Saccharomyces cerevisiae S288C: one gene and its partners. The gene in region 1 interacts genetically with each later gene. Each region holds a gene or a part of one and is shown on either strand. Other genes may lie near its edges.

Region 1 (8,786 bases):
CTGATGTCATGGAACTTGATGAAGATATGTACTTTTTTCTATGTTCTTTGGCAACCTTTAACAGAGATTCATCTTTGTGGGGTGTGATGAATATTGGCTTGCTTTGTCCTTCTCCAGAGGAGTCTGTGTTCACATCTTTTTCACTTTTCTTTTCCAAATACTCTGGATTAATATTTTCCACTGCAGGGTCAAAATTATACATTCTGCTCCTATTATCTCTCAATTTTTGTAGCGACAACGGTTGGTATAACACTCTCGTTAATCCATGACCAATCCTAGGAGGCTTTTGGTTGTGTTTTTGAACACCATCTTGATTGTAACGTACTAATGCGTGCCTAATCTTCTGGACATTTATCCGAAAAGTGTATGAATTGCTATCTGAATATGTTCTGCTAGCGGGATATGTTCTCCTAGCGGGATATGTTCTCCTACCAGGATATGTTCTTCTACCAGGATACGTTCCTACCTTTGTCCGCTCCAAATACTTATCATGTCTATACTCCTTCTTTATATTTGTTTTCAGTAGATTAATCGCCTTGTCCATTTCTTCCGTATATTTTTGTCGACCTCCCTTTTCCTTGTTTCCAATGTCCTCTACAGTCGAATTTGTGTCATATATTTCATCGACCATCTCTAAAGCACTATGCAGGTCAGAACGTAGCTTGTCTGGTGTTTCTCTTCCACTAGGGGCATTTGTGAGAGCAGCGCCAAAGTGATAAATCGATCGCTGTTGATAGCTTTTAGCGGCGCTACCTATTCTGCAAGGCTCAACAGATAGACGTCTGGACAGGAATCTACAGTTGTAGAACCCCATTATCAAAACTATAAAAGTATCAGGTAGCGTTTGGCTCTTTTTTGTGCTCTCTCAAGTGCCCTGTTTATATTATATTTTTACATATTTGTTTCTTTATTAACCAACGGCATTGACGGAAACGCGCTTTATTATGGACTACTTTTTTTTCACTGTTTCCTGTTTTTTGACGTGATATACTCAAAGATGAGCGATTGACGATCTGAGAATTCTATTTGGGAACTCTTCTCTGCTTTGAAGACATTTATTTCCCAGCTGCCTTTGAAGTAGTTTCACGAGCGCTAGTGAAGTTTTTTCATAAATATATATTCCCAATCATCGCTAGGAATTATGCGCGTTTTTACTTTGATTGCGATTTTGTTTAGTTCATCTTTGTTAACACATGCATTCTCCTCTAATTATGCTCCTGTAGGCATATCATTACCTGCTTTTACCAAAGAATGTCTTTACTATGATTTATCCTCTGATAAAGATGTCCTTGTGGTCAGTTACCAAGTTTTGACAGGTGGGAATTTCGAGATAGACTTCGATATTACCGCCCCTGATGGCTCTGTTATCGTCACTGAAAGACAAAAGAAGCATTCTGATTTTCTACTGAAGTCGTTTGGTATAGGTAAGTACACTTTCTGTTTGAGTAATAACTACGGCACTTCCCCAAAGAAAGTTGAAATCACCCTCGAAAAGGAAAAGGAAATTGTTTCTTCCCATGAAAGCAAAGAGGACATAATCGCAAACAACGCCATCGAGGAAATTGATAGGAACCTGAATAAGATCACCAAAACAATGGATTATTTAAGGGCTAGAGAATGGAGAAACATGTATACTGTGAGTTCTACTGAGTCAAGATTAACATGGCTCTCATTACTAATTATGGGGGTAATGGTTGGTATCAGTATAGTGCAGGCATTAATTATTCAGTTCTTTTTTACCAGTCGCCAAAAAAACTACGTATAGGTTGCTTTTCAAGCTCTTAAAATTGTTGGATCAGCTGTGCTAAGGGGAAGGCACTTTTTTGTATCATGATCCTATTTTTTTTGTTATTTAATTATTTATGACATACCTTTATACTTTAGTTTTCAAAAATCCAATAATAGATAGGCAAGGTTTACGGAAAAGAGTGGAGTGCAAAATAAATAGAGGAAAGGCAGAAGGAAGAAGGAAAGCGAAAAGAAAAACGAAGATATATTTGGAGAAAAGTATAGAAATAATAAAATGAAGACACATCGATTGAAGTATGCTCAAATGATGAGAAAAAGAGACCTTTATCTCAGGCCACAAACAACCATTGTCCAAGTGGCTTATCTTTGCTATAGTTTTGTTCGAATATTCGGGGATTCTATCTTTGGTTTCTTCAACAAGTTGACCCCATTTACCAGTTCTTTTTTGCTCTTCATATACTGCTGCTCTTTTGAAATGTGGCATGCCCTAAACTTCCTCACTTCTTCGAGCTTGTAATGAATTGCTGTTTCACTGTATCTCGCTGTCACAATCATTTTCGTTCTCTTCATTTAATGTGTTATTCTCACTTGCTGTGTTGAAACTGTTTCTTAATTCTGGGTTTTTGATTGTGTATTGGTCCTTATCATTGTTAATCCTTAGATTTTTTACATATTCTTCAAGTTTGCTCCAATTTTCTTCACGTTGCACCTTACGCTGTTGAGTTTCTTTTACACTTGATAAGTACAATGCATTACAGTTTTCGTACAATACTGGGTTTGTTTCCAGAAAAATTTTCAATGCCTTGAATGCCATAGCATGAATTGCCCTATTCCACGAACCAGAATTGATTGCTTGCTCAACAAGCATGTAAGGGTCTGAAATGCTATCTTCGCCATTTGCTGTATCTAGCTCTAACTGAGAAGTTAATTCATATAATGCAGGAAATATAATGGGTAGGATGACTTCGGCATTTTCGATACATAAGTTTAAGAAATATTCATTATTCCAATAACTTAAAACCTTTTCCGCCACTTGGAAATGTGGAGAAGAAATACACTTAGCTAATTGAACAAATAACGGAACTTCTACTTTAATAAATTCCAGCGGTTCGATCACTTCAAAAATATCCTCGATTTCATTTAGAAACATTATCTCTTTTGTGGAATTTATTTTTGGCCAATAACGCAGTAAGCCCATAACTACCTCTTCGGTTAATAAAGGATCTTTTTCGAGAAATTGAACGATACAGTAAGCCAACTGAGGGTGGTATAATGATAAACAACGGACCTTGTGTAATGGTATCAATATCCTCACCAAGAAAACCTTGTGCTCTTCCTTTAATGGAAGTGCAAATCCATTAATTATGGAACCCAAAATTTCTAACAATTCTGCCACACCGTTAAACTTCTCAGTCTCATAAATAAATTGCAAAAAAATATTATTCATCGACCGACGAATAAAGCTTCTTAATGATAAGAACTTCCCATATATTCTATGCAGTGTCGTTTTCAAACAGTCTCTTTCTCTGATATCTTCGCTATCAAATAATTCCAGTAACTTTAAAATAAAGTCCTGATCAATATATTGTTTAGCAATCTGATGATTGAAATCAGGACTTTCCACAAACCTTAAAAAGAATTCGTAAACAGCTTGCATATGAGGCCAGGCTAGTTCGTTAACAGGTTCATCTTCATCTGGGTCATAAATGTCACCAACTGGATTTACTGGTGGTGGAATAGGTCTAAACAGATTGATTTTGAACATGTTCACCACATGAGCGTACATCTCATTCGTGTAAGTGAACCTATTTGTTACAAGGAATTCTATTAGCTCATCTAAGGTGCTTCTTTTAATCTCTTTACCTTGAATGTCAAAACTTGGATCATTAAAGTCAAACATAGTGTTACACTGGTCAACTTTGGCAATGAACAAAGGGATTCTTTCTTCAGGAGAAACTTCATTAAAATTTGGCAATTTCGTTAATGGCGTATATCTAGATGGCTCGAATCTAGATGAAGAATGACGTTGGGGAGTCTTAATTAACTCTAAATCTGTGTCAGGGTTAAGTTTTGTGGGTGTTGGTAGTCTCTCAAATGAGTGTGATGATCTCGGAATGTCGATACTTTGTGAGGAGGCGTGGTTTGCATCCTGAGTATTACTAGTATTAATATTCATATTGTTATTATTACTATTACCATTTTCTACATCAGAAGAAACTGCTGTACCTGAAGCATTTGAAATGGGAGATGATGGAACAGCGGATACTGCCCCCAGCAAAGTAGGATGTGCATGATCTTCACCAGAAGTGCTTTTGTCGTCCTTAGTAACAGTGAGTACTGGAGTGGGGTTCATTATAGCGGCAGATGATGAAGAAGATCCTTGCTTTTGAGATTGTGATGGCTGTTGCGATTGTTTGGACTGTTCTTGTCCTTTTCTTGAACTTGTTTTCTTTGTGGAGCTTGAACCGGAGCGACTGACACTTGAACTTCTACTGCTACTGCTGCTGGAAGAAGGGGTCGTCGCTGTTTTTGTTTTTGATGTAGAGCTACTATGATGCTTCCCTTGCGAGGGAACACTACCAGATTGCTTGCCCTTCTCAGTTGTAGACTTTGATCCGGTACTGCTGGCAGAACTGTGAGTAGTCCCGTGGGAAGAGCTACTAGCCGAAGCGGGCTTCTTTGATGTGGATGAGGTAGTGGAACTTTTTTCTTTTTCCTTCTCTTTGTCCTTCTTTTTACTGCTTGAAGAAGAAGAAGACCCGGTGGTCTTCTTTATTAATCTTTGCTTGAAACCACGCATCATATTGAAAGTGGATGTTCGAAAATAGCACGTGCCTATTGATCTTAATAAGTAGAACTTTTATACAAAATAAAAAAGCCAGTTAAAGACGGTATTGAGGTGAACAGGTATATGGAGAAGGGTTTATATTTTTATCTAACAAAAAAAGGAAAAAAAAGCAAAATCGAGGGGGGAAGGAAATGAAACCCAAAATACTTACGGCGACGATGGTTTATCCTTGAAATGAAGAGTTTTCCAATGAAGAAACGAGACGTATTGACATGCCTACCAATTGAAGTGGAAAACAAAGCGTAGTTTCACATACTCTTTGATAATCAATTGTCTGATACTTTTTTTTTTCCTTTCTCGCAGCCGGGATAGGGGGTTGTGACCCGGCAAAAAATGTTGGTCTAAGTTTTATTGTTGCTATATGCTCCATACATACAATAAATGTCTATAAAATTTTTAGAAGAAAATCAGGCGTGAAAGATGGTGTCTGCATCTTTGTGGTAGAGCATCAAGTAGGCCGTGAATCCCTTCCCCTGCGGATCGGGTTCTCCTTTGGAGTTCACTTCTCCAACCCCGAACTGAAACACCAAATAGGTTTTGAAACCGAAATATTCGTACACAGATCTTGCGTGCTCCGAAATAGCCTCGAGAGCAAGGGCGCAATTGGCCTTGTCTGCTTTGGTTTTATATTTTTCGAGTATTTTTCTGACTGAACCTCTAATTTCGGGATGGCTAGGATCTTTTCCGATGGCATAAAGGTAGTAATAGTCCATTCCCAGAGGCATGACTTCGTGCTTCCTCACAGTCAAGTCGTGAAAAAAAAATCTTATTGAAAGACTCGTCGTCAGATAGTGTAGCAGGCAAGTGGCACCCAGGGCGGCTCCATATTGCGACTGCATCGAAATCATTTGCCTCAGCAATTTCACCATCCAAGTCATGGTAGCACGTCGTGTAGTAATGTATCATTGCATTTATTCTTGCCCTTGAAACTTTTTCAGTGATTGGGATATGGAAGAACTTTTTCATCAAGTAGTCATTTGCGTATGACTTTTCGAATGCCTTAAACAAAGTTTTCGAAGCCTTCTCTACATCGCTTGTCAAGTTTACCGCCAAAGAGGATTCTTCATTGATCGATGATGCTACCATTATCAAAACTATTGATTTGTTTTCAACGTTCTGATTAGTATTTTTGTCACTGCCTTTTTCTATTGTTTCTTTTTTTGCATTTCTTATAGTAACATAAAAAACACAGGAAAAAAAACGTCGTTTATTATATCAGGAGTAAAGGATTTCTGCCCAAAATGTCAGGAAAATTACGATATAAAACGTACTATAAGATAACAAGCGGCTGAATAATTTCTGAGGTCAGAACCATAAGGGTACTGAAATACTATGTGCTAGATTTTTTATTTATTTTCTTTTTCTGATTGATTATCGTTTGGTTAAAATCAGTATGATATTATATATGACTTGCTTTATAATATATCAAACCGACATAAAAAATTATCCTACTCAAAAAAGATCATGGTTGTCCCCGCGTTTCACTTCTGTTATACCATGCAAATTTTTATATCAAATGAGTAATTCTTTCATTTCTTTCGGGACCCTTTACGAAGTAGTTGTTATATCTCCACTGGCAAGGCCACGAACTGACAAAAAAGGCATGATATAAATTGTGAGAAATTGTGAGTTAATTTAATAATTATGCGACGAGATGATAGAAAGGTAAAGACGACTTTTTGAGCCGGATCTGTTTACGTCAGTAAATTCTCGCGCCCCAAGACGTTATGAGGCATAAAATTTATTGCGTTCAGTTTTCTAAAGAGCTCACTATCGGTGATAGAAATCTTTCTTTTTTATTATCTTCTTGTCAGTAGTAATGTATAAGCACCAATATTGAAATGTCCAATTTTTTCGGCTCTTCCCAAGAACTTCAAGAGAGCAGTAGTATGGAAGAAAGTATTGTGAATGATACACAAAACGGTTTAAATACTCCAATATTTCAAAATGAAAGAAATTGAAAACCGATTTTGCCATTAATAATGATTGCTTATTATCCTTTAGTGAAGAAGTTTGTATTGAACTTCAAAGCTGATTGAAAAATCATTATATTTGAACACGTCGTGAGAAGACATGTGTCCAAGTGCATAGTTATTTAAGGCTTCTACGCTGCTTTGTCCTTTTATTACACATTATAATGAGTCTTCAAGATATTTGACTCAGTATGTATAAGAGAATGCTTCCATTGAGATAGTAAGATGATACGTATTGTTACAATACTTGATAATAAGATGCGTTAAAATATTAGTTAAAATGTTAGCTAAAGTTGTACAATTATTCAAGTCGGTGGAACAATAACACTCATTTTATATTTAATTTGTAGGCTGGTTAAATTTAATAACACTTCTTAGGGCTCTATTTTTATGAACAGGACATCATATTATGTAGGCAATAACTTCCGAACTTCGTAATTGATTTAATTGATAATACGACCTATCGTGAATATGCTAAAAGTTCTTTTCGAGGATATAGAGATTCTCGAAGAGAGAGAGATATTCTAAATAACAATATACATATATATATATATATATATATATATATATATTCCTTTCTTGCTTCTTTTTTGTACATTATGTAACTATATTTCTTTCTCATTCCAAATATTCAAATGTACAGGTATTTAATACCGCCTCAATTGATTTAGCGGTATTTTATTTTCTAACAGCTTAGTTATAATACTAAATATACAAAATATATTAGAAGCTCTTTCTCAAGGATATAGGAACCTGCCAAGGAAACCCATATTTCCACATAATGTTACTATTATTATTTCTTCTATTTTTTATGTTGTCATTCATTATCCTATTACATTATTAAATCTTGCATTTCAGCTTCCATTAAATCAGATGACTGTTTTCAATCCTTTTTTATCTTTCTACTCCGTCTACCACAATATAATAGCTTATGAATACTCGCCGGTAGATTATAGTCGATTCTTATTCCAATAGTTTGTTCCTCCAATGACGTTATAACTAATCATAAAGCAATATAGCTAAATTAGGTACCTAATCTTAAAAGATTTTCAGATTTAAACTAATCCTTGTTGCCTATCTTAATTTGAATATTTCTGTATTCTCGCTTAAAAAACATGATGCTGATTATATCTGTTAGTTCAGGTATTCTTTTTACTCCTATATTCTTCTCAGTCATGACGAAGTGTATGTTGTTTTACGGGTACGAGTAATACCGGGGTGTCTTGAAAATCCCAATATAAACAGTCAATGGAAGTAACCAGTTGTCAGAACGGATTATCAGCTTTTCATGGGATGTTACTTATCCTATATATTATATAAAATATGGATCATATTAATTGGTGGAAGCGCCGAACCTCGGATCTAAATTAATTGCTCAGGCGTCTATACGTTTGGGTGGTTAAGCTAAGGGAGGCGAAGTTATATGTCATGTTGCTCATTCTGTTCGTTTTGTTATAAGGTTGTTTCATATGAACGTTTTAGGATGATGTATTGTCATACTGACGTGTACCACTCTGAGAAACAACAAAATAACGGTTTACTGCTTCTATGGCCAAGTTGGTAAGGCGCCACACTAGTAATGTGGAGATCATCGGTTCAAATCCGATTGGAAGCATTTTTTGTCGTGCACTTTTGCTATATAAATATTTTTTGAGCGTCAGCGACAAGTATCTTTTTTTTTGTTGTACAAAGGACTCTTTCAATTGTTTAGTCAGTCATTGGTGACTTGTAAATAATTAGATTAATTAAAATTGCTATTAAGTAGAAAGTAGAAATATATTTAAAAATGGTATTAGTTCTGTACAGGCTTCTTCCCTCTGTGTGGAATTACTTTGGTGATAATTTTAAAGACCTTTGGCCATATTCTTGCCACGTAAGTTAAGTAGTAACCAGCAAACATCGCAAAGAAATTGAAACCAACAAAAGCCCATTCAATACCAAAGTTCCTCCAAACGTGGTCGTAACTCATATTCTCATTTTTCAGGAAGTCATCGCCAACAGTGTACGTACAATAAGCGCAGACTGTGAAAGTGTTCTTATTATGTAGATAGCCACCGTATTCTTCTATGAAAGCTTCCATAAATTGGCCACAAGATTGCCCCGTCAGAGGTTGACCAGGAACCATCTCCGACATGTCACACTTGATTTCCCAGTTATGCAATAGAATACTAACAAAAGTTTCCACAAAATATGTGTATGGCGAAACCCTGTACATG
Region 2 (7,736 bases), on another chromosome or scaffold:
GAACAATGATGGTGGTATGTCCAATCCGTTTCAGGAACAAATGTTAAGAGAACAAGATGTTCATTTAGATGGTATTCACAAGACAATGCAAAATTTGCATATTCAAGCTCAAACAATGGGGGATGAATTAGAGAACCAGGGACAATTGTTGGATAATATGGACGAGGGTATGGACGGTGTTGTAAATAAGCTGGCTAGAGGTCGTAGGCAATTGGAATGGGTCTACGAAAAAAATAAAGAAAAATACGACGATTGTTGTATAGGACTTCTTATTGTCGTCTTGATAGTTTTATTAGTTTTGGCATTCATTGCTTGAAAAATACAATGCACTAATGCCGAAGAGCTTCAATCGAAGATATACTGGGCATATATAAAATACATGCATTCTGAATACATAAGTGATACGGATATTAATGCTACAAGGGTTTGGATATGATTTATATGTTGGTTTTTCTGGATCGTCAACAACTCGTGCATATTTTTTTGTTTCGAAGTAGAGGAACCACAAATATTATTAAAGCGTGTTATTTTTTTTTCTTACTCTTCTGTAAACTTCTAAATGCTGCTGAGGCACCCCTACTAGCAATTTCCCTATCAAAGTTTGTTTGGCTGTTATTAAGGGTATGTAAGACCTCGTATCTGCTGCTACTGATCACCATGTTAGAAGGAGCAGAATACTTTTCTCTCGTAGTTGGGAATTCCATTTGCGGAAGTGGAGGTGAAGGTGTTGGCTGTCGATATCCTGTTGTTTTGATTTGAGGCTTGGTCGTAGAAGATGAAGGAGAAAATACGGATGATCCCTGCTTCTTCGAAGTTAAAATATTATGCTTATTGTTCCCTACATTAGTAGAAGGCCTATGATTAAAAGCTGGGACCGAACCGTTGGTATATGTATTGGTAGAAGGTGCACTATTTGGTAATCTTCCATTCATTTTTTTCGGAGTTTCACCAGCGTTATTGCTTGACAAAACCCTAGGATGTCTTGAAGAAGGAGTGGAATTTGCACCGGGCCTATCCTTGGTACTACTAGGTATGCGAAAAGGTTTTTCTTCTCCAACATTATCGTTTTGTGGTGCATTGTTCTGGCTTCCATTTTTTGCAGTATAGCTGAGTGTTGTTACATTATTTCCTATACTCAGAGGCCGCTCTTTTCTTGAAATAGGCGGAGGTGATGATGGTTCACTCGATGCCTTACTATCAAAGGAAACGTTACTGATTTTATCAAGAATTTGCTTTTCTTCTAGTAGTTGTCTTGCTCTGAAAAAGCAATCGACCCAATTTTCATTGTTATTTATTGTCGAAGACTTCACGGCATTGAATGGTATTTTGGATAACGTTGAATATGAAGGTAGCGAGATAAACCATATTCTATTCTTATATTTTTCCAGGATTAAAAAACCCTTCCTTGTCAACTCATTGAATTCAAAATCGTACATGGACAAGTCTGTATCTTCTATATTAGCCATCTGGTGTTCTTTGTTTTCTTGATCATCATTTCCCTCCATAACTGTGTTTTTGTAACTTAACATTCCGCTCTTCTTCAAAGTCAATACCTGTAAAAACGACTCTGAGTTTTTTAATTCTTCTTTATGCTGCGCAACTAGTGACGTAATTAAATCATTATCGATCTTATTGTAGCTGTTCAAAGACATAGCAGGCCCTTCGTGTTCATATGGAATGCCATAAATGAAGACGTAGTCTTGTTTTAAAACATGAATATCAATTGAGTTTCTTCCATCTAAAGTGTGTGTTAAGTCCTGGTTCCTTATCTCTGTTGACGGCGCCGATAGAGCTGACGATGCTGACGATGTTGACAACTTTTGTGGTATTGATGATGTTTGCAAAGGTGGCACATTAGGCTTTGTGCGCGGAATTGACTTATTTCTCACGTTGTCATTAATTACCGGTACTTTGGGAGGTATTCTATTTGGTGCAACTAGTTGTGCTCGCTTGACTTGATTGGATTGTGAATTAGGCGGTAAGGCAATATTTGCAGTAGAATGTGCCGCCGTATTTGTTAATACATTGGTATCATTAGGGGCGGTCACTGCAGGCGTAGTGGACGGTACGGTGCCTAAATCATCCTTACCTGTTGATATACCAAGCCTTTTTCTCCATACTACTATGCTACTAGTAGTGTTGGAAATTTTCGTTGGTTTCTTACGTTTTTGTTTTGTGATTTGTATACTTCGTGCTGGAGTGTCAATTACATGTAATTGTCTGGTGGGTAGTATATTCTGCGGTATATTTGGGAGTCCCAAAGTAGTTTGTTGCAGCGATTGTCCTTGTGATTGCCAGATTCCTCTCCATATTTTGATTTTATCATTCCAATCTACTTTTGAAAAATATGGGTGTCTTTTTATCTGTTCGAGAGAGATTCTCTCATTGACCTCTATCACCAATATTTTTTGTACTAAGTTTATTACAAGGGGATTTATTGGTGATGTGCTATTATTGATGCGGTTATTGGGTCCCCATGGATAATCTAATGCTACGATTTTTTCAAATGTCTTCAGCTCATTCTCCCCTCTAAACGGCGGTTGTCCTTGGACAAACTGATATATCATGCAACCTAGTGCCCATATATCTGAGCCATAACCGCATTGGTTGTATAAAAGCAGCTCTGGAGAGACATATTCGGCAGTACCAACAAAGGAAGCGCAATTTTGGTTGTCTTTTGAGCCGTTGCTGTCAGAGTTAAACTTGGCCGAATCTCCGCTTAAACTAGGGTCTATGGTGGCAGCGGCCCCAAAATCAGTAATCATAAGTCTACCATCCCTGTCTAAAAGGACGTTTTCCGGTTTTAAGTCTCTATGAATGATGCCATGTGAATGGATAAATTCTAATGCATCAATTAACTGTGCAGTGAAATGACGCGTCCATATATCATTGAAAGTACCCATTTTGTGCAATAAGGAAAGTAGTTCTCCACCTGGGGCAAAATCCAAAACAAAATAAAGATTTTCCTCATCGTGAAAAGTATAGTATAGTTTGATTATACCCGCGTGATGCTTTTGTGCCAACAAATTCATGGTATTCTTTTCAATGGTGACATATTTTACCTTAGCTTCTTTGATTATGTGTTTCTTCGAACAAACTTTAATGGCATAAATTTTATTCGGGCTTTTTTTATCTAGAGCTTTAAACACAGTAGAGTAAGAGCCATGGCCCAGTTCCTCTTTAAATATGAAATCGTGCGGAGACCTTTTCCTAGACGTCATATGTCATACCAATGTCCCACACCTACTCTTTAAATTTTCACTCAATTGTTTCAGCCTCTGAATAGATAAGACGTGGAAGAACTGCTTACTTGCTTGGGTTAGGCTTTAGGCACTATTATTCTGTTTCCTCACACTTTCAAATCAATGTACCTCTCTTCTGCTGCCTTCATGAAAACCCCTTCGCTACCAAGAAATCACCGCGCGGGTAAGCATGAAAATTGTTTCGATCCATTGTTACCTCAATATGTGACATTAGCTGCGAGTAAGGAAGTTATATTGTTAACACTTTCAGTATCATCTCTAGTCATCAGTACGTGTGCTTGGGGTTGACCAATGCAGATATTTGTTTAGTGTATATAGGATTCGAAGGATTATAACGATTCTTTTCCTTTTTCGGCGAGAATCGATGGCACCTTTCTTTTTCTAAAATTTTTCAAAGCTCATCTCATCTCATTTTAAGCTAAGCGTAAAGCAAAATGACATTGACAATACCCAGCAGTTGCAACGGCTAGGTGTTTACACCAAGGACTTTTAATATATTCAAGTATGTCAGAATTACATGCTTTGCTTACTTTCCCAGAGAGGCCCATTTCTCAAAGTTACTATGTACCAAAACTGCAGCATTTCTTAAAATCTGGTATACCGGCTACATATACTTTGGAGCAGGTCGCAGCCTTCGAGCATGAGGAAAAGAACAGGAACGGGGATAAGGAATTCAGAGAGAGCACTGACGACAATAAAACCTCAAACACAACGCCGTTACACGTTTTAGCAAGATCGCTACCCTTGGATATCAAGGATGAGGAACTGCAAGTGGTGATGGATATGATGAATATTCTTTTTGAGTATGGGGCTGGATGGAATTTTATTGACTACGAGGACAAAACAGTGGGTGATTTGTTTTTAGAGAGAAATCAAAGTAGGGAGAGCCCTCTTTATAGACGGCTCGTGGAAGCTGGTGTGTCTGCTGAATTATTACTGAGAAAACTCAATGGTGGCGACGTCGAATTCTTGGATACAGATGAACTAATAGGTATCGAGCCTGAGGAAAGCGTTCAAACAGCAGTTGATGGTCAAAAAGAAGAATCAGTTGGTAGTGATGACGATGCTACCGCGGCAAATCAACAAGTGTACTTAAAAACAGAACTAGAGTACAAAGACGATGCGCTTATCACAAAGGAAAATAAGGACGGTGTTATGATGGATTGGGAAACCAAGATTATGGAACTTGCTTCCGAAACCTTATTTCCTGATCCAGAGGCCACTAATTCTGCTACGATCTTAAACATTGGATTTGGAATGGGGATCATCGATACATTCATCCAAGCTCGAAAACCATATCGTCACTATATTTGCGAAGCTCATCCAGATGTTTTGGCCAAGATGAAAATGGATGGTTGGTATGAAAAGGATAATGTGGTTATTTTAGAGGGAAGATGGCAAGATACGTTGAATAATTTATTAGACAAAGGTGAAGTTTTCTTTGATGGTATTTATTATGATACATTTAGCGAGCACTACCAAGACATATTGGACTTATACGATGTCGTGGTAGGTTTAATTAAACCAGAAGGCGTTTTCTCATTTTTCAACGGATTAGGCGCTGACAGATCGTTGTGTTACGATGTATATAAAGAAATTGTTGAGATCGATGTTGCTACATATGGTATGAAATGCGATTACACCAGATATTCTCTTGACGAGCAATTGCCAGATTGGAATGATGTTAAGCGGTCTTACTTTAACTGTAACTATTATTACCATCCACGTATCACGTTTGCTTAATTATAGAATAATGTAAATTGCACAATGGCAGGGGCCGATTTCCAATACTAATATTAGTTTCGAAAATCGGAAGAAAAAACTATATACATTTGCTACTTTAAGTATATATGATTATGCAGAAATGGACATATGAACTAAATTATGTCTAGTAACACCTCAGTGTAAAATGCTTTTCTTTCTCTTCTTCTTTGGTTGTAAAGAGGCTAACTTCTCCTCCCTGAACGACTCTTGAATATCTTTTTCAATACAGCGTGCTTTGTTAAGGTTATTCATGTTTACCGCAAGAATATTCAAAATCTCCTTGTCGTCAATCACAATCTTCGTGTTGTTTGCTTGCGTCTCAGTAGTTTCAAGGCGATCCTTGTACTTTTCTTGACTTACCTTTTCTTGAAATCTTTCTTCGATCCATTTAGACTTCGTTTCTGATTCTCCTTCCCCAAAAAATGCGTTCGCACGCTTTTTTAATCTAGACTTTACGTCATATTCCCAGTTCTTGGTGGAGTTCATCTCTCTCCATCTCCGTTTCCTCACATTGTTAATCTCCTTCTTTAGACAACTCAACTCCGCCTCGGTCAATCTAGCCTTGGCAAATTTTAGGACTACACTACGCTTACTTTGTACCTCTTCTGGAGATGGTATATCGAATGTGTAAGTAATGGATTCGCTGTTTGCCTTTCCATCGGCTTCCGGTGCGGTAGTGGCGTCAGCAGAAAGCTTTTTAATGCGGCGGACACGTTTAGCTTTGGTAATACATCTACCCGATGGAGGCACTAGTCCATCCAAATTCAAAACCTGTCTTGGTGTTTTTTTCAGGTATTTTACGTTTTCATCTTCATACTGGTAGTTTTTAACATCAGTGGCTGTGATTTCGGGCAGAATATTAGTGATAGTAGAGGAAAGAATGTCGGTGATATTACTTCCCAAATCAACGGATTCATTCTTTATTTCGGGTATTTTGGTATTTACCAAATTTTGAACTAAATTAATAACGCTAACTTCAGGCTTAATTTGCGGTCTTTTTAAGGGAAATATGATGGGAATTTTTGGTTTTGCTTCATTTAACGGTTTGAGAGAAACATCAATTAATTTGGGCTTTCCTGTTGTCGTGTTTACACTGTCTGGTTCATTACCCGTAAGTTGGGCTGCATCAGAATGCAATGTAGACTTTTCATCTCCATCTTTCTTATCAGACAGGCTCGCATCTTCATTCAAATCTGTAGCAATTTTCTCACCTGGCTTCTTTTTATCCGTTTTTTCGACAGGAGATTCAATTAATATCCTCTTTTCATTTTTTGGATCCCCATTTGTCTTGTCTTCAGTTAGAGTAACTTCCTCAGAAGCCTTGGTACCGACATTCTCCTTAATTTCTTGTACGCTTTGGGTTTCTTTCGCTGTTTCAACATTATTTTCCACAGGTTCTACGCTCTCTGCCCTCTTCGTAAGTTCTAGTTTATCTTGTGATGGTTCTATAGTTGAAACCGCTATACTAACAGGAGGAACATTCGCATCGCTGTCTTCTATTTTAATTGGCGTAGTAACGCCCTTTAAAGTATGCCCAGCGATTGTAGAATTAGAGTGGGGATCGGGCGTGGCTTTATCAGGGGATTCAGAGCTGCTGATTTCTGTTCCTGCACTTCTGGCCGGTAATTGTTTGTCTAATTGTTGTTTCACTCGAGATGTATTGAAAATAGGAATCATTTTCAGCGGATTCTTCATTCGAGACGCAGTTGTTGCCAGTTCTGTGGTAGTTCCCTTAGAATGAGCGGCTTGCATACTGTTTTTCCTTGCTTGTAAAGCTGCCCTAATAACTGTAGACTTGGCATGTTGAATAATGGTTGCCAGCCGTTTCCTTGCCTCCTCAGGTGTGGCGCCAGCAGCTGTTTGCGATTTTGCAGCAGCTTTTAATGTATTTATTATCGGTAGTAATATGGCCGGTAAAATTCTGTTCCTAGTACTTGCCGTACCTTCTTTGGAGACACGAAAAGAATTATTGGTTCTCTTTCTATACTTTTTGATATTTGGTATTTTCTTTCTTCTAGCTACGGGTAGTGCAAATGGTGGTTGAGACGGTATAGTCCATGGGGGATGGAAAGGAATTTTTTCTTTATGCACTACAGTTTTTAGGTGTGCATCGTAATTTTGAGATGCAGATGAATCTGATAGGGGCCATTCGTGATCTTCACTCTTTGGTCTCGAAAGAATCCTGCGGACACCGTCAGGCGATTTATGTAATCCAATAGTGGATAGCGAACCTTCAATGTCATTCAGACGATGTCTTGCACTTGGCTGAACATTACCCTTTACAAAGTTGAAGAGAGGAATTTTCTTCAAAGCAGATGAAGGTACCTTCATTTTCTTTTCCTTTTTCTTTCTTTCCTTTTTCACCTTCCTCGGTTTTTCAGCTTCCTGTGATCGTTTCAGTAGCTCTTCCGGAGTCCATCTTCTGTATGGTTTTTTTGGTTTACCGCTTTTAGTTAGTCTTAAATCTGGGGGATAAGGTGGACCTCGTTCAACAATTTTTTTCAGTTCCTCTTGTTCTTCAGCCAACCTCTGCTTCTCTAGTTTTTTTTTATGTCTCCTTTCCTCTCTGGCAGTTTGGCGTTCAAGTTTCTCTTTCTCCTTTAGTTCTTTGTTTTTAGCCCATCTTTTCTTTCTAGCCACAGATGCAGCCTCGTTGGCAATAGAGACGTATTTTTTGCGTAACTTCTTTTCTAAAGATACTTCTGTCTT
Region 3 (6,819 bases), 110 kb from region 1:
CCGCCATGCCATATTTTTTCACAGTTCTATGTCAGTTTCCCCAAAGAAGGAGAAGGATCCGGTAAGCCCCGCCTTTCATGCTTATTGTACCAACGTTCTTGTGATATGGGGTTGGGAGTACCATTTAACATTGCATCATATGCTTTGTTGACTAGAATGATTGCTAAAGTTGTCGACATGGAGCCAGGTGAGTTCATTCATACTTTGGGGGATGCACATGTTTATAAAGACCACATTGATGCCTTGAAAGAACAAATCACCAGAAATCCAAGACCATTCCCGAAACTAAAGATTAAAAGGGACGTTAAAGACATTGATGATTTCAAGTTGACAGACTTTGAAATTGAAGATTATAATCCTCATCCAAGAATTCAAATGAAAATGAGTGTATAATTGACAGCACGAGGAGAAACAAAATCATGTACTTACGTATATACACACAAAATCGAATGTATATAATACAATGGTTTATTATGCAAAAATATAGAAATTATTAAGGAACACCAGGGCAAAAAGACTATATATCATTTTTTGGTGCGATATGTTTTTGGTTGATGTTTCACTGCCTTACCATTTCCAAATAAATCAAATACTGCTAAATCATCTTCATTTAGTCTAAAGCTAACAGATTTATTATTAACATTATTAATGTTTGAATTGTTATTGTCGAAATTGTTGTAATTGTTGTTATTATTACTGGTTCCCTTTGACGACTTGGAGGGTCGCGTAGTAGAATTTTCATCAGATAAATTATTGACAATTGCATTTTTGAACAATTTTTTAGTTCTTGTTGACTTTTTCTTATTCTCCGATTTATTTGTAATGTCAAGTAAAGGCGACGATTTTTTAGGGCTATTGTTGCTAGTTAGTTTTTTTTCGTTTTTGTTGTTGCTGTTGTTGTTGGAAGTGGTCATTAGATGAGCGGTATCCTCGTGTATTTCATCTTCCGTTTTTTTCCCTTTTGGAGTTCCATAATCCTTTGAGACGACGACTTCTCTCAATTGCGGTTCGTCGGGTATTGAATCTTGGGATAAACTTTTCCTTTTATGTGAAGTTTCCCGATTTCTCTTGGAAACCTGTAGATCATGTATATCAATCACAGTAGTAGCATCCACAAGTTTTTCTGAAGGCCTCCTCATTTTGGCTCTTAAAGAAGGCAAAGTGTAATCTACAGCTTTACCACGAGTTCTTCTAGTTCTCGTAAATGATATTTCGCTGTTGCTGCTCATGTTACTTACGGGCATGACTTCGTCAATAACCTTTTTCTTCAGTTCTATCCTAGGCGGCTTCATGGAATGCTTAATTTTGGTCTTTGGATGAGAATTAGTAGAAGAACTTGATGAAGGATAGACCGTTGAAGCATCGCTAGTGGTAGTAGGTAAAGTTGCGGATGGGCCTGGTAAAGGCAACGGCAAAGGATTTGACGGCACTGTACTTAGCATATTTGTACTGTCATTGAATATTTCTAGTTTAGAAGATGAATGCTCGGGTTCTGTCGGATTCTCCTCTGGTATGGAGTATTCTATAATTGAATTGGTAAAATTACTGACAGAATCGCTATTTTCCTCTTCAGGGTTTAAGGCATCTATTGTTTCCTCCACTTGCGCAGACTCGTGTGATTCTGCCGGTACCTCTACAGAGGAATTTTCCATCATGGGTTCGTTTTCACCGGTTTCGTCTTCAGGTTCTAAACTCGTGGATACAAACATAGATTGCCGCCTAGAACTCTTCCTTTTTTTAGCCTTAGGCTCAAGATCTGGACCATCGTCCTTGTTAAAACTTGATTCATGCGACAGGTTATTCTCGTGATTTGATAACCTAGTGTAACTTTTTGAGTATGTGGGTGATGACAATGAGCATGATCTTGACCTGGAACTCGTTCTCTTCAACATTGTTCTTAAGCTCGAACTGGGCAAATTTTCGTTTTTACGTACGTTCTCAAACATATAAAAAATTTCGTCAAATCTTTGAATAATACCGTTTTCAATGACTTGTAGTTGATTACTTAACCGTTCCCTGTAGATAGCTTCGCTTATAGAGGTTTTAGATCGTAGAGTCACGTTTTCTTGTACCAGCTGGCTTATTTTTTTTTCCAAGCTATTAACTTTAATTTTTAATATGGAGTTATCCTTGGCCAGCAGGGAGTTTTGCCTCGAATACGACTGTCTGATGTTTTCCACTTTTTGCGATTCGAGATCCATTAGGTTTTGAAATTCTTGTATTTGTGGGGTTAAATCATCGTGGGAGACCGTACGCCTGCTGCTTTCCTTGTTAGGAGCAATTTTTCTCTTCGGCATGGTCAAACAATAACCCCTCTATACCCAATTAAACATATATATGCGTGTGTAAGTAATATAACCCTGCGCCTAGCAGTAGTTGTAATGTGGAAATGGCATTATCAATATTAGTAGACGCTCACTTTGTGAAATTTCTTTGTTTACAAAACAAAAGGGCCTTGAAAAAAATAAAAAAAATCTGTTACCCGACCAATAGGAAATAAATAATCAAAAATAAAAGGGGCGAGCTGGGAATTGAACCCAGGGCCTCTCGCATGCTTTGTCTTCCTGTTAGTCAGGAAGTCGCCCAAAGCGAGAATCATACCACTAGACCACACGCCCTTGTTAACTTGTTGTTAAGACTACTTAGTCTTGAGTATCACACTGCATTCAGTAACATATATTCTTTTAATCTTCTGGCTGAGAACTCCAAGAATAATCGCTAAAAATACTCAAGGGTAAGTACCCCAAACAAAGTTCTGTCCTTCTTAGATATTTTAAATGAGGGAAACTAAATCATTAGTTTATTATTTAGATGCATTTTTCCCAGCTTTAACCTTTTTATTTAAAGGAAATTATAAAAAAAATTTTAAAAAAATGAGTTTTGCGTATCCAATAAATAATAGACAAGATGCTGTCACAACAGTATTAAAATTTCTGAAAGATTCTGCTGTCTCTGGACTGTGTAATACAACAATTCTTCGGAAAACTTGATTCGGAATAAACAATGGTCTTTCATTTATGGAAAATTTTCTTCTTTGTCTCGGTCACTAAAAAAAGCCTTAGCAAAGCTATATAGAAAGAAAATAGTGATATGGTGTATTTGCCGTAAAACTATGGTTTATCCAAGGTCGCCTTCAGTAAACTTTCGGAAATATATTCATCGGAGATATATTATATAATGAGTACATAGCAATCTAATCATGCTGGGTCTTCTTGCACCCCAATGAAACCATAATCATGTAAATGCTTGAAAATTCCGGGCATACTATCCTCTTCCTCAATAACCCAATCGAAGTAGAGTGCTAGTTGTGCACTATGTCCTTGCTGCTCATTAAATAAATTTACTGACAGTTTGGTGGAATTTCTTTGTTCGATCAGATAGTACTGTTAGGTATTTGTTGACATTTACTTCCCTATCACATCAGACCACTGTTTCTCCTTCCTTTTTGCCATCTTCTTACCTATTATATGATAATATAGTTCAAAAGGAAATACCAGTCAATGAATGATAATTGGCTCTTACTCCAACCGTTCTTAATCTGGACCAGTAATTGTTCTTATGGTGAAAAAGTATGGTGACGTCTTTACTTTTAAAAATATTTTTAACAGTTGAAGGAGCTCCCCGTGTACATCTTGCCAGATCTTCAAGAGAAATGTCACCAAATAAATTATGAAATTAAAGTACAGCGGTAGTGATAAAAACGATCATCAAGTAGTGCCATCCGATATTTCGTGTCAATTTCCAAGCTCATGATTTATGACATACAGGATTTTCAAGAATATTAAATCTTGTTCCTGAGGAATTTTTGATAAATCCAATAAATAGTAAATAATAAGAAAAAAGACAGAACAACAACGTTTTGGTGGGAGAAAGGCCACTTCTCTGACCAGACTAGAGTACTAATATTTACGACAAATATACTGAGACCGTGACCAATGGTAGAAGGTGATTGGCTTGAAAGAAATGCCAACATTAAAGCACATATCACTGCTCTTGATATCAGTAGAGTTGCAAAAAAATTATACTACTAAAATCAGCTCAACGGCAAGAAGTTACTAAGCACAGCAGAAATTCTGGAGCTAAAGAGAATAATATACATACAAGACTGACTGAAAACTCTGTTTTCCACATGCAGTGGACTCAAAATATTCAGTTGAAGAAGCAAGCACAAAATTGGATCAACCCGTCGCGTCGCGGCCGCTGCTGCAGGCGACAAATCCACTGGCAAATTGTACGCGGCCTCGTTACTCCTACTTGAAAACAGAAGTAACAACAACAAATTCAAGTTTCTACGAAATGGGTCTCATGACGACAAGGTGCGCCCCCCTATCTACCTTGTTGTAAGTCTGGGACCTGGGGCTAATTTCTCATCCCCGGAAACAAAAGTATACAACTACGTGGCTAAAAATTTTTTAGTATGCAGCACATAGGATGCCAAGGAGCAATTTTTAACCCTGGCAATCTGAGCTACTGAACGGCCGCCTCAGGACTCATAGTTCTCTATATATAATTTCTCCATGTTTCTCCTTGTGCCTGGTGGAAAATATCAAGTAGTTGCCGCGACATAAAATGAATGCCTCGTAGACACCGCGAAGCCGGAATGAAGGCGGACACTACGGCACCGCCTCAAACCCAACGGCCGAGAGCGAGTTCATCTCCCTCATAGATGCGAACGGCATTGGCACTGACGCCATCATTGTAGAACATATAGACAAGATTAAAATGCGTAATCACATCATGAATGGGAAGTTAGGTGCGGTCCACTACCCTGGGGGCCTCACTGGGGACGTCATCACCCCCAAAGCACCTCAATAAGTCCATAAATAAATATATAAAAATTACTGAATAATAATAAAAAAAATAAATTAGTTCAGTCTAAAGAAATGGAAGCAAAAACCTCAAAAAAAAAATTTTTTTACGAAGACTATGCTTCCAAGACTGACGTCTTAGAGGCATAGTCGAGAAGAAAAGGAATTACTGGCACAGAACGACAAGAAATATCGTGTCGGCGCCAAGGCATCTATGTAACTACGTCTTGTGATCACCGGTATAGCTGGGACTATTCCGTTTCATCATATGATCTGGCCGTCTGCGCTTGTACATTCTGGGCGCCAGGCGTAAATGACCAGAGTAATGTCTTGCTGTAGTCGTCCGTCGCCACAGAAGCGCGTGGACGCATGATCGCGCGCAGCGACCGGTCGGTTCGCAAGACGGTTGGCAATAGGAGTTTCCTGCTGACCGCCTTATTAATTTATATGAAAGAGGAGAATTTGTCATCGGGCTTTCGAATGAAATAAAACAGCTCCTTTAAGTAATGGAACTGGAAGAAGGAAGAGAATAAACGACAGAATTTTCGTGCTCGGAGCGAACACCGCGCCGGGTTACGAACAACAGTGGCCACTACTATAATAGTTATGGAGTAGACGTCAGAATATATAGCGCAGGCGTCAGAGTATAGCGCGGGCGTCAGGATATAGTGTGCCAATGTAGCGTGGTTGCATGCAGCTAGCTTTTTAGTTGAGTCAGACCTGCTCCAAAAAAAGAGGAACACAACTTTCGTCAGCATGTGTTGCTACCGCTATTTGTTCTTCGGGGAAAAAAATTTGCATTCGCTATTGTAGTTTTAATTTTCCTTCTCTATTCTCATAAATAGAGTTAAAATCTTATAAACTCCAGAATTATCAAGAACAATTACCTATATTATTTCCTATTGCAGAATTTATATTATTCTTTATTGTACTGATATCCCCATTATAACTATCAAAAAAAGGACTTCAGCACCTGTATCATCATGAGCTTCAGTAGTATAGTCTCTAAGTTTTTGAGATATTTAGAAATTCCTGCCAAAAATAGGACTGCCGTGAATTTTCTGAGGAACCCTGATTTGCAACCTATCAAGTCTGCAAATCAAACATGGGGGTTCTGGTCTAATTTGGCGTACTGGGGCGCTGTGTCCTTTACAGCAGGTACATGGATGAGTGGTTCTGCTGCACTAAGTGTCGGCCTAAGTTACCCAGAGACCATTGTTTCGTTTCTTCTCGGTAATGTCTTGACCATTATTTTCACTATGGCCAACTCTTACCCCGGTTATGATTGGAAAATCGGTTTCACCTTGGCCCAAAGATTCGTTTTTGGCATTTACGGTTCAGCCTTCGGTATCATCATTAGAATTTTGATGAGTATTGTCAATTATGGTTCCAACGCTTGGTTGGGTGGTCTATCTATCAACATGATATTAGATTCCTGGTCCCACCACTATCTGCACCTGCCCAATACTTTGTCCCCAAGTGTTGCCATGACCACCAAGCAGTTGGTCGGCTTCATTATTTTCCACGTCCTCACCGCGCTCTGCTATTTCATGAAACCCTACCATATGAACTACCTTTTAATTTGGTCATGTGTAGCTACTTGCTTTGCCATGCTGGGTATAGTGATTTACTTGACTAAGAATGCCCATGGTGTCGGTGAATTGTTTACCTCCACAAAATCTACCGTTACTGGTTCTAAAAGAGCATGGGCTTGGGTTTACATGATTTCATACTGGTTCGGTTCCATTTCTCCAGGTTCCACCAACCAAAGTGACTATTCAAGATTCGGTTCCTCCAATTTGGCTATCTGGACCGGTAGCGTCTGTGCATTACTAATCCCAGCAACCTTGGTCCCAATCTTCGGTGTCATTAGTGCCTCCACCTGCGACAAATTATACGGTAAACAATTTTGGATGCCCATGGATATATTCGATTATTGGTTGACAAACAACTATTCTGCAGGCGCTCGCGCAGGTGCCTTCTTCTGTGGTCTTTGCTTTACCATGTCTCA

What was found.
Region 2: mutations in RTS1 (region 1) and PKH3 together harm fitness less than expected from each alone (positive genetic interaction), as found in Saccharomyces cerevisiae (3 studies listed by BioGRID).
Region 3: of RTS1 (region 1) and SGO1, changing one suppresses a phenotype caused by changing the other (phenotypic suppression), as found in Saccharomyces cerevisiae (4 studies listed by BioGRID, with this or other methods).

What each region holds. Positions count from the first base shown.
Region 1 is NC_001147.6:353,440-362,225, reverse strand, and holds RTS1 (protein phosphatase 2A regulatory subunit RTS1), read right to left. Parts: upstream 4,553-8,786; coding exon 2,279-4,552; downstream 1-2,278. Other genes in the region: PET127 (Pet127p), read right to left, coding at 1-814; ERP4 (Erp4p), read left to right, coding at 1,142-1,765; YOR015W (uncharacterized protein), read right to left, coding at 1,874-2,233; YOR012W (uncharacterized protein), read right to left, coding at 5,270-5,683; YOR011W-A (uncharacterized protein), read right to left, coding at 6,368-6,574; ATP-binding cassette sterol transporter AUS1, read right to left, coding at 8,363-8,786. UniProt on the Saccharomyces cerevisiae protein: The B regulatory subunit might modulate substrate selectivity and catalytic activity, and might also direct the localization of the catalytic enzyme to a particular subcellular compartment. Multicopy suppressor of ROX3 and HSP60.
Region 2 is NC_001136.10:1,390,606-1,398,341, reverse strand, and holds PKH3 (protein kinase PKH3), read right to left. Parts: upstream 3,222-7,736; coding exon 525-3,221; downstream 1-524. Other genes in the region: TLG1 (Tlg1p), read left to right, coding at 1-316; RMT2 (protein-arginine N5-methyltransferase), read left to right, coding at 3,768-5,006; SPP41 (Spp41p), read right to left, coding at 5,163-7,736. UniProt on the Saccharomyces cerevisiae protein: Serine/threonine-protein kinase which may phosphorylate the same targets substrates as PKH1 and PKH2, 2 upstream activators of PKC1.
Region 3 is NC_001147.6:460,249-467,067, reverse strand, and holds SGO1 (Sgo1p), read right to left. Parts: upstream 2,298-6,819; coding exon 525-2,297; downstream 1-524. Other genes in the region: CDC21 (thymidylate synthase), read left to right, coding at 1-393; YOR072W-B (uncharacterized protein), read right to left, coding at 2,438-2,599; YOR072W (uncharacterized protein), read right to left, coding at 5,252-5,566; NRT1 (nicotinamide riboside transporter), read left to right, coding at 5,792-6,819. UniProt on the Saccharomyces cerevisiae protein: Plays a central role in chromosome cohesion during mitosis and meiosis divisions by preventing premature dissociation of cohesin complex from centromeres after prophase, when most of cohesin complex dissociates from chromosomes arms.